2 linked regions of the Neodiprion lecontei genome follow. The protein of the gene in region 2 purifies or fractionates together with the protein of the main gene of each other region. This does not show direct contact. Links are inferred from orthologs where the notes say so. Each region holds a gene or a part of one and is shown on either strand. Other genes may lie near its edges.

Evidence for each region.
Region 1: the proteins of F-box/LRR-repeat protein 4 (region 2) and BCL2/adenovirus E1B 19 kDa protein-interacting protein 3 purify together in Homo sapiens (affinity purification with western blotting; 4 studies listed by BioGRID, with this or other methods). This does not show direct contact. The link is inferred for Neodiprion lecontei from reciprocal best matches to the Homo sapiens genes FBXL4 and BNIP3.

What each region holds. Positions count from the first base shown.
Region 1 is NC_060265.1:18,583,800-18,588,795, reverse strand, and holds the start of BCL2/adenovirus E1B 19 kDa protein-interacting protein 3, read right to left. Parts: upstream 3,107-4,996; 5' UTR 3,014-3,106; coding exon 2,971-3,013; intron 1-2,970. Other genes in the region: polyadenylate-binding protein-interacting protein 2, read left to right, coding at 3,209-3,261, 4,538-4,727, 4,956-4,996. UniProt on the Homo sapiens protein: Apoptosis-inducing protein that can overcome BCL2 suppression. May play a role in repartitioning calcium between the two major intracellular calcium stores in association with BCL2.
Region 2 is NC_060266.1:964,569-972,470, forward strand, and holds the start of F-box/LRR-repeat protein 4, read right to left. Parts: upstream 5,961-7,902; 5' UTR 5,954-5,960; coding exon 5,920-5,953; intron 5,836-5,919; coding exon of another isoform or gene 5,660-5,835; intron 5,568-5,659; coding exon of another isoform or gene 5,412-5,567; exon of another isoform or gene 5,392-5,411; intron 5,273-5,391; coding exon of another isoform or gene 5,007-5,272; intron 4,851-5,006; coding exon of another isoform or gene 4,801-4,850; intron 4,458-4,800; coding exon of another isoform or gene 4,368-4,457; exon of another isoform or gene 4,064-4,367; intron 3,751-4,063; exon of another isoform or gene 3,621-3,750; intron 3,371-3,620; coding exon 3,141-3,370; intron 3,065-3,140; coding exon 2,971-3,064; intron 2,902-2,970; coding exon 2,445-2,901; intron 2,373-2,444; coding exon 2,135-2,372; intron 2,024-2,134; coding exon 1,663-2,023; intron 1,601-1,662; coding exon 1,273-1,600; intron 1,215-1,272; coding exon 878-1,214; 3' UTR 1-877. Other genes in the region: glyoxalase domain-containing protein 4, read left to right, coding at 4,368-4,457, 4,801-4,850, 5,007-5,272, 5,412-5,567, 5,660-5,835, 5,961-6,089. UniProt on the Homo sapiens protein: Substrate-recognition component of the mitochondria-localized SCF-FBXL4 ubiquitin E3 ligase complex that plays a role in the restriction of mitophagy by controlling the degradation of BNIP3 and NIX mitophagy receptors.

The sequences.
Region 1 (4,996 bases), on a different chromosome or scaffold from region 2:
TCCATGGTTACGGTATAAAGGTGCGTGAATACGGTGCACTCTCTCCATTTATCCCTCCACCCCCAATTACCTTCACGGAAAAGTCGCAAACTCTCTCATTAGGGCCAGCCGAGCCTTTCATGCAAGCACGGATACATCGTTTACATCGGTTATTAGACTCCCATCTCATTTGATTTAAACCTGGAAAAATACTTCTCTAGCAATATTTCATTAGCATATGCGTTTTTTAATTTTTTTTTTTGTCAATACATAATTACCCATTCAAACGTCTTAAATGGGAATAACTTTGTCTGGTAAAAAAAATGACAGAACCATTATTGCATTTGTTGAGAGAATTGTGCTTCAAACTCATAAAACTGGATGAGGATGAAGTCAGTATGGTTAAGGTAACGAAACATTGGGGGGTAGGGATTACTATTTTGAAATTTTATAGTGACCTTGAAGTAGTTAAATCTTCAAAATATGAATAAGTTTCGCCGTATTGTGATTTACTGCATTTCAGATCTTGCTGCAATTGTGAAGTAACGGTTTTTCCGATAATTAAATCATTGCAACAATGTTACTAACTTCATCCTTGTAAACTTCGGCCGGGGGGGGATTTTGAGAGAGTACACTGTAGCGATAAATGAACCGATCGTTAGATTCTAAATATAAAATTTCAAATTTTAACGATCGTAAAACACTCAATTCAACGTATGAGGAAATTGTGAATAATTCTGTCAAAATATCTCGTTGAATTAGTGGATATACGCGTATTGGAAGAAATAATTTTGCTTCTGTAATAACCAGACAGGGAGAATAGAGGAATACAAACCGATCGCGTATTAATTATCAACGTCACTTGTTTATTGCACTGCAAAAATCCGTATCCATCGGAAGTTGCTCTTATTTTTTCTGCAACAAATATACGGATACCTACATCTGTTACAAGTATATTGTATGTATTATAATTATACACACGGAAAATTGACCCGAGAGCCGTGCGATATGGAAAACTGAAGTGTCTGTATATATATTATGTATTGTGATATTGCTGAGCAGAAAAATCGACGTCGGGTTGCAAGCATAAAATAAATTGACAGATAATTCGTCCTTCCTTTTAGTATTTTTCAATCGATTGTCTCAAGTGTGCTGCAGCATTGATCGCGTTCTTATCGTAATTATCAACGATTCTACCCAGGCATACGTGAGCATATACAAATATGTACATATGTACGATAAGTATAGATTCTCAACGAATCTGATGATTCAGTGACGTCCAACAGCGTCGTGTCTTCCGATTCTCGATGCGTCAGCACCTTCTTTATTTTCATTCTTTCTTTCTTCATTATGCTCGTATAGTGTATAAATACATACACGATTTTCTCTTTTCTTTATCTTCGCGTGTTGCGCATTTTTTTATTGAATATTATTTCTCGTCATTTTGCCACGCTGAAATTACGCATCAAGCCGAGATGCGTCAAAAGATTATATCCGTACATAGGAATACGGCTTAGGAATTTTACCAGAAGCAATAGAGTGATTGTTCTTACCTCTCAAATCTAGGTATCATTATTTTATAATTATATTATGACTTTTTGATGTATCGATGAGCGAAATGAAACGCAACGTCCGTCTGGTATATTATCGTCCGTCTGGTATATTATCGTTCGTCGAGGATTCATTAGCGACAAAAATTTGTAATCATATAACGGCAACTACCCATCTACGCTGTTACTCAAGCACAACCGAATCAATGCCCGCAAGCGAAACATTTGAAACGATTAGTTTCTAGATTGTATGCCTTATCTATACAGCCGAAAAAATACCCAACATTAAACTCCACAAAGAAAGCGACCGCAAATTCTTAGCCGGATTTAATTACACAACACGCTATTCCTAGTTCACGCTTGGCTAAAACGTAGCGCGACTGATAAGCGCGTTGCCATTTTCCTACAACGCAGTAGAATTCGAATTTCATTTCTTCTTGTCCGAACAAGTCGAGTCATGAGCGGCGAACGACGCAGAAAACGAATGCGAGTTAGAACGTGGGTTTATTGATGTTCCGAAGCTCAGTCTCTCCAAAACAAGGCGGGTTGAATGTAACGTAAACGTATGTATGTATGTTGTGTGTGTACTTGTTGCAGCAGCGAGGAATGAAATCGTACACAGCGAAGCGTTTTATTCGACTTTAGCGGTTGTATAGAAATTATAAAACGCGAGACGTGGGATGAACGTTGAGACGTAGGCAAATACAAGCGATTCTAAGAGCAGTGATCTCGATGTATGGTTTTTTTTTTCATAACGCATAAGATGCTGGTCTGTAGGCAAAATAGAGAAGAGTTAAAGTTTCGGGATTCATTCGTCAAGGTTCCAGGTAACGAGCCGATATTCTTTGTTAAGTACATATTTTAATCGTGCGCATATATACTATACATCTAACTTGTAGGTATGAGATTAATTTACATAGCCATTTAATCATATTCCATTACTATTTGCGTCGCTTCGACGATCGTACCACAAATACTCGTCTACGTACGCTAACATTATTCAACAGACAATTTTGCCGGATTGAATTTCAGACAAGGTGTGCGACGCGAAGAAACTTTAACTGGATACTTTTTTTTGTCCCTTCGAATCCAGCCTATTTTAAGACGCAATTACATGCGTGGGAGAAGCACGCAAATTCTGATATCGATTTACCCGTACGTCCGATGTAAATAAAAAAAAAAACATAAATGATAGAAAGGAAAAGAAAAAAGAAACATCGCGGTGGTAGCAACTGAACGTAAACAGTAAATTGAATATTAATAAAGCGTAGGTATATTGAAGGAGAAAAAGGAATATCTCCGATTTGTTTACGTGCGGTTCGAGAGCAGGGGAAATGGCTGCGTGTGATCAACGTATGTATGCTACTGACAGCTGCTGTGTGGCGTTCATTAGTCGTTTGATTTCACAGGTGATCGTGAGGATTGGTTTTGCATTACTCACCACCGAGCAGATCGTCGGAGGTAAACTTCGCCGTTGACGACATCCTGGAGACACAACAGACTCCTCGAAGTTATTATCAATTATAAAACAGACAACTGAAGGCACCACCAAATTCTATCAAACGATATACCAACGGATCGGAGAGACCGCACGCTCGCGGCACGAATTCCTACGGTAAAATGCCAGCCAGCGTAAGCGGGAGCAAAGACGACCGGAGCTGCTGCTTTGTTTTGATAAAATGTCAACACCACAGACGTCAGACGGTCGGCCAATCAGCGGTCTCGTTCCAACGTAAATATACTACAGTGATTGGCGCAGAGTCTCGATTGGAGCGTTTCGCCCTTTCAACGCCGTCAGCCCCCGGCTCGATTTTAGAACGGCTCAAAATTCATCCGTTGGGATTAATTGTCAACGTCTGTTTATTCAACGTTGTTGAATAAGTCGCACGCGATACTTGTTGTGACTAACTTGTTGTCCCCAATTCGTGTAATGCTTCGTGCGGTTTTCGTTCGTTAATACATAGGTGGCAGCACCGTACGGATACGCTGCACCGCTAATTCACGCTTTATGACACGTATTTTACCTGAATAACTGCGTAATTCGTATTTTAGACGAGATATTTTGAGGAACGGATTGTAAGGTACGTGGCAGATTAATTATCAGACGCATAACGATTATACATGTGATGGAATTGCATATAACATGTCAATAATTCTCAGTTAAATCGCGAATAACAAAAATGTGTTCAACTCTGCGATTGCTGCGAGCGAAACAGTGAAAAATGGTTGCTTCTTAGTTGATCTGTCAAGTGATATTCGTTGGTTATTTCGTTTTAATATGAATCGGTAGACTAAACTGTGCTAAATTTTGGGTATTCATTGAGTTTCGGTACTAAATTGATGGTAAACTATTCTTCAGTATTTTTATCCAACCGAATATCAGTTTTGTGCATTGCCATAAGTTATATCCATACGTATACATGTGTAAATGCACAAGCGCGTCCGTGAATGCAAAGATATGTGCGTAAATTATTCACTCTCACAGCTGTAGCCTTATATTTTTCTTATTACGCGATGCAACTTCTCAGTGTTTTTTTTTGTTTTCAATGAAGGCGTCTGCAAGGCATCCAAGGTGAATCGGGAATACTCAAGGTTGAATTTGGTCAGCAACCTTTCGAAAATAATTATTACACGGTCACCGTCTCCAATCGGATCATTGTCGAACTTTTTGCTCGTATTTTTTCAGCGTTCAGATAGACGGAGAGAACCGCCTGGCCTCCTTCGCATATTCCCCTCCTCTGCTACGCGAACGGTTTCTAATATTGCCACACAATTGCGAATGGAATTACACATCAGTCCATTTAATTTCGTCGTACGGTCGGTCGTTTGTTCCCGTGAATTACTGGGCTTTGAATGATCTTGATAGATTTCGTTTTCAATAACTGATTAGTTACAATCGACTATTCTTTCAGCTTAAATTCAAATTCAGACGCGCAAACGCGTGAAACCTAAAAAATTAAAACTCTATAGTAGCATCTTATTGTCAGTGTTAAAATAATGTGTTTCAGTGTTGAATACAAAACTGGCATGAAAATGAAGATTCCAACCGGTGGTTCAGGGAACGGCTATTATGGCCATGATAGTGGGGTTATCTCATATCTTGATACTGTCGAGACCGAGGCCGATGTCCAGGCTGCAGGAGATGGAGACTTTTCCGAATATATGTGGATGGAGAACGAAGAAGAATTTGACAAACAGGTACTTGAATTTTAAAAATCGGATGGAATGATTCAAGGTTCTGTAGTTGGTTTGTAACTCTTAAAATCGTTTCTCGTTTGTCGATTCTGAAAGTTACAATTCGATTCATGAACGTTTTATATGTACAGTGTTTGAAATAAAAACTATAACCAAGGAAAACTAAGAAACACTAACTTTTTGGAATTGGTGACAAGTTTGGGGTATCATAGCAAATAAATCATTTTGCAGGTACTACAGCAGCTCGAAGAGGAGGAGTTGATGGAAGAATG
Region 2 (7,902 bases):
ATGTTTTGTCAGTGTACAGACACCATATTTTTTTTTTCTAAGGCCCCAGAGGTACAATTGTTTTCCAGATTTATTATATTAGCTGCGTTTGATATGTACAATTTTATATCGTGTCTGTGGATCTTTTTTCAGTCACATGATGCAGGAACGATTGCTTCGAAGAGTGGAAAAAAAGCACATGTTTGATCAGTCTTTTGGACGGAAAGAACTCTGCTCTTAAGTACGCACTACTCCATACGCATGTACTCACATAGGTATATCTACTCGAACGAAGATCTCAAGCTTAGAAGAACGTGAGCTAATATGAAGATAATATGACACCACGGCAATTCGACACTTCAAATTTGAACTAAATATGTAGAATATCCTAATCATTCTTAATAGTGATGATGTATATTGCTTATCATCCCAGAGAAAAGTTTTTCAAGGAGATACAGTGTAGACTTGATAAAAATTAACGATTATAAAATATACTCGCGTCTATCAATAATGTCACGATAATAAATAATAATAAAACAATCTTTATACGAATAAAACAATAAACCGGAAGAGGTTGTTGTTGCTTGCTGAAAAATTTCGAGTCACCTTCTAATAAAATATTCCCCGACGCATCGTCACTCGTCCACCAAAATTTATTAATCCAAGTCGATTTCGCAAGCTAGTGAAAATTCGTTTTTCAAATGATTTCCTGGTGCAAAGATGTAAAATGTCACCGAAAATGGAACTGATCTACAAGGGAAAAAACCAAGCAGACCATCCGACAAAACTCCAATGGTTATACGTTGTAAAGACGGGAATTTCGGACTATTGCAAGGTGACATGGTCAAAAAAAAAAAGCAACTGATAAACGGACGAACAGAGCAATAACATCGATGAACTATGTAAAAACCGATCCACTTGCTTGAAAACTACGCTTAATAGATACATGAGGATAAAGCTGACGCCATTCGTGTATCTTCATATCGCTTATACCTTCGCAAAAGCTGAGATCCATCATTTCCAGCTGAGTGCAATATAATAAAAATCGTAGACATATTTCGGGAGTAAGAGATCTTGCGCCAAGGAAATCCAACTGTCTGAGTTTAGAGCAGGCTAAAAACGGCTCGAGGTCACGATCGGTGAGGCCGCGAAGAGCAGCGAGAAAGACCTTCTCCAGATTCTGACAGGACGCAGCCAATGCTCTTAGCGACTCCCCTGGAGCTCCCATGCCTAGGCTGAAATTAGTCAAACTTCGAAGTTCCCGTTTTTTAAAAAATTCTCCTTCATACTAACCACCATCCGAAGTCGACCTCTCTAAGCATCGTGCAACGAGCGAGGGCTCTAACTCCGTGGGGCGTCAGGCTATGGCTCTTCCAGAAATCAACGCTTTCGAGGTGAGGACACGAGTAGGCAACCTCCATCGCGATATCGTCCATGTTATGAACGTGGTCGCAAGCGGCAAGGTTCAGGTGGCGCATGCCTCGATTTCCCTTAAGAATCGCGCACAGCGACGGCGTCTGAATCAACGTTCTGTAAAGTTCGAGACGTTCGAGCTGCTGCAGGTTTGCCAGAGGCCAAAATCCGTCCTTAGTTATCTCCACGCAGTTGCGAAGGCAAAGTTCTGTGCGTCGAACGATAACGGTCAATTAATCTTTTACGATTGAGAGATGAAAACGTAAATACCTTTTAGGTTTCGGCAGATCATGGAAACCTTCAGTATCACGGAATTGTTGACAAACTGGCAGGAATTGAATCTAAGGTGCGTCAACTGATTTCCGCTGGACGTGAGAAATTCCTGAATGTCTTTAGATGTTATCGTGTTGTAGTTGCCGCACCAGGAGAGATCTAGACGCTGAAGATATTGGCACCTCGAGGCCAGCGTTTCAAGCGCGCTTGTGTCAATACAGTACCAATATGGTTTCAAGTTTAGGCTGGTATAGAGAAGTGCATCTCTTGCTATATTGTTGAAATGCCGATTAACTTGACAACAGCGACAGAGAGATCTGAGATCGAGATTTCTAAGAATCTTCAGTACCGCTTCGTCCTGCAGGTTTGTGAAATAAATGCTTGTAATTGAATTATACTAAAAATTTGTGGCTAATTTATTTCATTACTGTTCTATTAAGAAATGTATTAAAACGGAAAAAACGCTTACGGGCAACACAGAAAAACTGCCGCAAATATCACCCGACTGTAACGAACTCCCAGTCTTGTTTCCAGCCACTGCACTTCTTGAGGAAGTTGAAAGATCGATGTCCTGCATCAATTTTGGAAAGTCTTCCTGGAGAAACCTGTGCAGACTGCTAACTGCTTCTTCGATTGGCGGTATGCAGTGGTAGTCAGTTCCTAGCCTGTCAATTATGGTCCCCTTGTGTATCCTACCCGTAACATTTCTGCAAAATCAAAAGTTTGCCAGTTCGAGTTTGGAAATGACGAGAAACACGGTGCAAAACTGGATCACATACCTGTTCGAGAGTTGACAGTGCTTGTAAAACGTGTTTTTCAGCTCCCTTAAATCTTTGTGTGTCTGTAAATAATCTGGCGTCAGATTATAAACGTCATCGCAATCAAGGGTACTGTCGTTGAGCTGCCGAAGCAAGGTGCTCAAGTTTTTATTGTTGAATCTAAAGTGGGGTTGAATAAATTCCGAAGTGCCGATGAGGAGGACGGCATCCAGCTCTGTGTAATAGTCCTGCTTACTGTGGTTGAACTCCAGTCTAAGCATCTTGGTCTTGAAACAGCATGGCTGTAGAGGGGGAGAAAATATCCTTGGCTTGTGTGAAACTACCTGCGGCAGCCCTCTCCAAAGACGGCTCCACTTTCCGCTGCTATCGGCAGCCCAAATTCCAACAACGCTGCCCGGGTTATAAGTCTCATATATGGACACTCTGATTGGATAAACCTCACGATCGTACGCCACATCTGTAACAGGGTTCAATTATCAGTAATAAAGAATATGGATCGTCATTGTTGTTGTTGTGGTCTCCATACCTATGTAGTCCTGGCAGACGACATTGTCATTGTTCTGCGGCATGTAATCAACTAGTCTGGATGGCGCCTTGTCCCACCAGCAGCCGTACGTTCTCTAGAAATAATTATAACAGATTACAGAGATACTGAGGTTAAGCGGATGAGAATTATACCGGCAAATGATGTCTTACCATGACAAATGCCTGAGGAAAATCACCATAGTCGGGAAACTTGCTCGGGTTACCAGCTATGTTGTACGCCGTGTAGGATATGCTTTTATCACTTCCGTACTGTGAGCTGAAGTGTTGCACCTTATTCACGAATTGCTCGGTAAAAATAATCGAGTCATCATTTTCCGCTCCTTTGTTACTCGACACTGATATCCACTCGGATTTAATCTCGTCGCAGGACACCATTGCTGCTTTTGTGGAGCGTGAAAAATTAAACTTTACTATTTTTTGTATGGTATATCATACTACTTGACAATAGCGTCTTTCAGGCTTTCGGGTTGAGTTGGGTTGTATTAGGTTGGGTATCGTCGTAATGCACCGCCAATGCTTGGCATGTTTTCGATCATCGTCGTGAAGATGACAGCGAATTACCGCGAACGACGGAACGCTGGGATTCTGGACTGTTAAAGAAGCTGATTATATTTAAATACGTATTATTACTTTTTCGTGTGCGGATCAATCATACAGCGAATTTCCGGAGTTTTTTTTGCGAGGACCATTCAAGCTTCTCACGAAGCTTCCCTTCGGACATTACGGAGTGAATATAAGCGTGAAGTTTGCCGGGGAACAGCTGCAAACATCCAGGAACAATTACGAATTGCGGGCTGAACGAAACGGCGGCAATTACGAACAGCTGAGAGTTTATGCAACATGAATAGATTACGATCGGAATTTATTACAGATTAGAAACCCATTTCGAAATCTCTCATGCGATAAGGATTCAGCGAAAGATATCAGACGAGCATTAATTGTCTAATAAAAGCTAGTACAACGTGCGATTAAGAACGAGATACGCGCGTCTACGAAATGGAACGTGTATTTCTATCTGATTGTTTTCAACAACAATTAACCACTGATATTACATATCAGCGCAATTAACACACTGTCTCAGTAAATGTATATATCCATAATGAAGCACGTCTGTAACGGTGACCTCGACTGTGGTTAGAATTCTTTGAGCGCTTTAGAACCATCTCGTCGATAACAACAATGGCAATTATACCCTCGAGGAAAAACCACTTGTCAGCGGTCGAAATGATCGAATAGACCAGAAAAATCGCTCACACGTCATAAGGACGAGCCGGTATCTCCCCAGTGCGTCAATCTTGTTGAAGAAAAGCGAAAGCACGAAGAAAATATTGTGAAGATAAATTCGAAATCGTTAAATTGAATATTTTACCAACAATAATGGTAAACGCTCGCGCCCTTCATTTCGTGTTCAAAATTGGTGAACGTAAACTGACTGCAAGATTCTACCGCGAAATACTCGGAATGAAGGTTAGAATTTATCAATTCATTGTTACAGGTATTTTACAATCACGGCCATTGCATAAACGTTGAAAACATAATTTTGATACGTCAATTATTATGATTATCTTATTGCACACCAGTTACATTTTATATAATACAAATAGATTTTTTCTCATCGCTATAGCGTCGTTCACATCTTAAATCCGTTTTCTATTAATTTCGAAACACCCTGCAGCCCTTTATCACGTTTGAAATTTTCACAGTACCGTAACTAGGGACGAAAGGACCCTGCCATACATTTGTTTTATTTCATTTTTCTATACACAGAAATATGGGCATTGATTTTTTTTTTTCTCTCTTTGTATTCCAGGTTCTGAGACACGAGGAATTCTCGGACGGTTGCGAAGCTGCTTGCAACGGGTTAGCTGTTGACTAAAAAATATAAACCTAGTCTGAAGACAGTCCCTTTCCTTTTCCATCAATTGTTCTTTCTCATATAAATTACGATCCTCGCTATCATTTTCAGTACGATAATTTCTTTGTCCACCGTCATTTTTATTTTTACCAAATTTATAGGCCCTACGCCAATCGCTGGAGCAAAACTATGGTCGGCTACGGGCCTGAGGACGATCACTTTGTTGTCGAACTGACGTACAACTACGGTATTGATTCTTACGAAAGAGGCAATGACTTTAAAGGGATAACGATTAGATCCAAGGAAGCGATTGAAAGAGCAAGGTCTTCAGGATGGCCGGTGCGAGAGGAGGATGGGAAATTCGTGCTTGAAGCACCGGGTGGTTACAAGTACTACGTTATTGACGAACCGCAGCCTGCTGATAGAGGTAACGGGAATATAGAGCTCTGTATTTTTCCCTGATACAGATTCTTATACTATCTGATTTACTTTTAGTTTACGCATCGGTCTAGCATGTCTCTCTGCTTATAAACTTGTGATATTTACCACCTCGTCATCGCTTTCAGATCCGGTCGAGAAGGTCACCCTATCCAGTTCCAATCTAGAACGTACAATTGCATATTGGAAGAATATTCTCGGCTTGAGAGTCTACAAGCAAGATGATCGCAAAGTTCTATTAGGATTCGGCCACAATCAGACCGAGCTTGAGTTTGAGGATATTGGTGAGACGGCCGGCCATTCTGGGTTTAATTTAACACAGTCACAGATCGTAAGTTCTGAGATTTGGGACTATAAAGTGGTGGATGATTTCCAGGGACTGAGGTGACACATGCAAAGGGTTATGGGCGGATCGCATTTTCAATTCCATACGAGAACCTGCTGCGCCTTAATCAGACTGTAAAGGAAGCAAACCAAAAGATTCTCACAGATCTTGTAAAGCTTGATACGCCAGGAAAAGCTAGCGTTACTGTCGTCATTCTTGCCGATCCGGTAATTTCTTTGTTTTGATAAATAGAATCGTTTGTCGAGGATTCGAATTTTGCGAATGTTATTGCATTAGCGCAGTGAGTTTACCTTGAATCAATATGGACTCGTTTGAACCATTCATCTTTCAGGATGGCCACGAGATTTGCTTCGTCGACGACGAGGGCTTCAGGCAACTCTCCGTGCCTGATTATCCTAGCGAAGCTATCCTGGATAGATTTATCGCCAAGGAAGACAAAACTGCTGGCGTGACTGCGTAGATACGCATTACTGAAATGAAAAAATATTGTTTAATCAATTATAACTGTCTAATTGTGCTGTTGAAATATAAATTGAACGTCGATATTAGTTGTATATGTATATTCTGTTTATGTCACAGGTAAGAGTAGGTATAGTACGTATGTGTGTGTGTGTAGGCTGAGCAGTAGCGTACCGGCAGGTAGATCGGCGCAGTGCGTATTGCGAGTTAGCTCTGAACGCAGCGTTTGCTGGACAGCTAACATTTGTATTTAAAATAATATTAGTAAAGATCCGGGTCTTAATTAAAATAAACTGCAGTATAAATAAAATAAAATATCCTGTGTACATTTTTTATTTTACTTCCACAACCTATATCATGTGCTAAAATAGAAGTCGGGACTGCTATTTTTTTAATCAAAAGACTAACTAAACAGTACCTAATTTGTAAGTCCAAGTATGGTCAAAGATACAATGATTATGCTTTGTTTACGAAAGTAATTTTAAGCTTTGTTATGTGCACCGAAAGGGGATATTTGGTAATAAAATTTCCGGATCGAATTATCATGAAATAAAATATATTTACATATGTTTCAAAAGAATCATATCTTATTCTCCTTATTTTAACCGTCGCATTCTCAATAATTGTACAGGAAATATGATTACAGTCATAGATACGAATTTGCAGGATGTGCAAACGTGTTGAATTGTAAACTGAAGCTAGGGATCGTATTAGAGGTCCGTTTGACCAAAAATCGGTAAACTATTGAACAACGTGTCCAGTTAAAAAGTGCAACTACAGTGATCAGCTAATAAAATAGAAATCAAGCTCGCCTTGATTATTTTGATCACAGTCCCCGCTTCCTTGGGTAAGAAATAATTCATCCGATAAATTACGAGATATTTTCATCGCTAATTTTTGATTCATATTTTATCAATATTTCGCAAGTGGTAAGCATTGACGAAATATCTGGCAATGCCTGGAAATTAATCAGGGTATCTCAGCGTTGAGTGAAAACAAGTCGAAGGTAATAGCAGTAAAGTAACATGTAAATAACATATGTCATGAAATATAATAAAACATGTCAAAACATTGTAAATAAATTCCAAGACTCGTGTTGTCTGAAAAAATAGAAAATATTTGTATGTTTAAAACAACGTTGATCTACTTGATTAGAAAAATATTGCTTGACAATTTTTTCAATACCCCCGTGTTTTATTACCCCCCAATTATAAGTAAATAGTAGTTGAAACAGCAAAAAAAATGTGAATTGGTAAAGCGGAAATGATACAAAAATATTAATGTAATCAAGAGGCTCAGGGTTGAATTGTGGTCAAGTTGGAATGGAATGCCCTATATGTATACTGAACCTTTTTACGGACCCCATACAGATAAGTTGCTATTCTGATATGTATATTATGTGTCTATAGCAGAACATCTGGTCCATAATAGAGGGACAAGAGATTTCGGGGGGGATAAATTCTCATGCAAAGACGTGTATTGTTCACAGTTCTGATGGAGCAAGTTGGAAAACAACGGTATAACATATAAGAAAAGCTCAAGATTATTTCCTCAAAGCCATATTACGCATGCAATTAAGCAAGTTTGCGCATACATTTATACCGAAGAAAATTTGTTGAGAAATTCGATGAATTTGAATGAATAGATAGTAAGATATTTCCAACAAATTGTAAGTTAGTTTATTTCCCCACTTAACGTGATTATTGCACTTCAAAGAAATACTGTAGAAACACGCATACACGCGCAAACGGTGATGCGATAAAGGCAAGGAATCATCTCATTCACAGTTTCGAGTGTCACCTTTGAACCAGTGT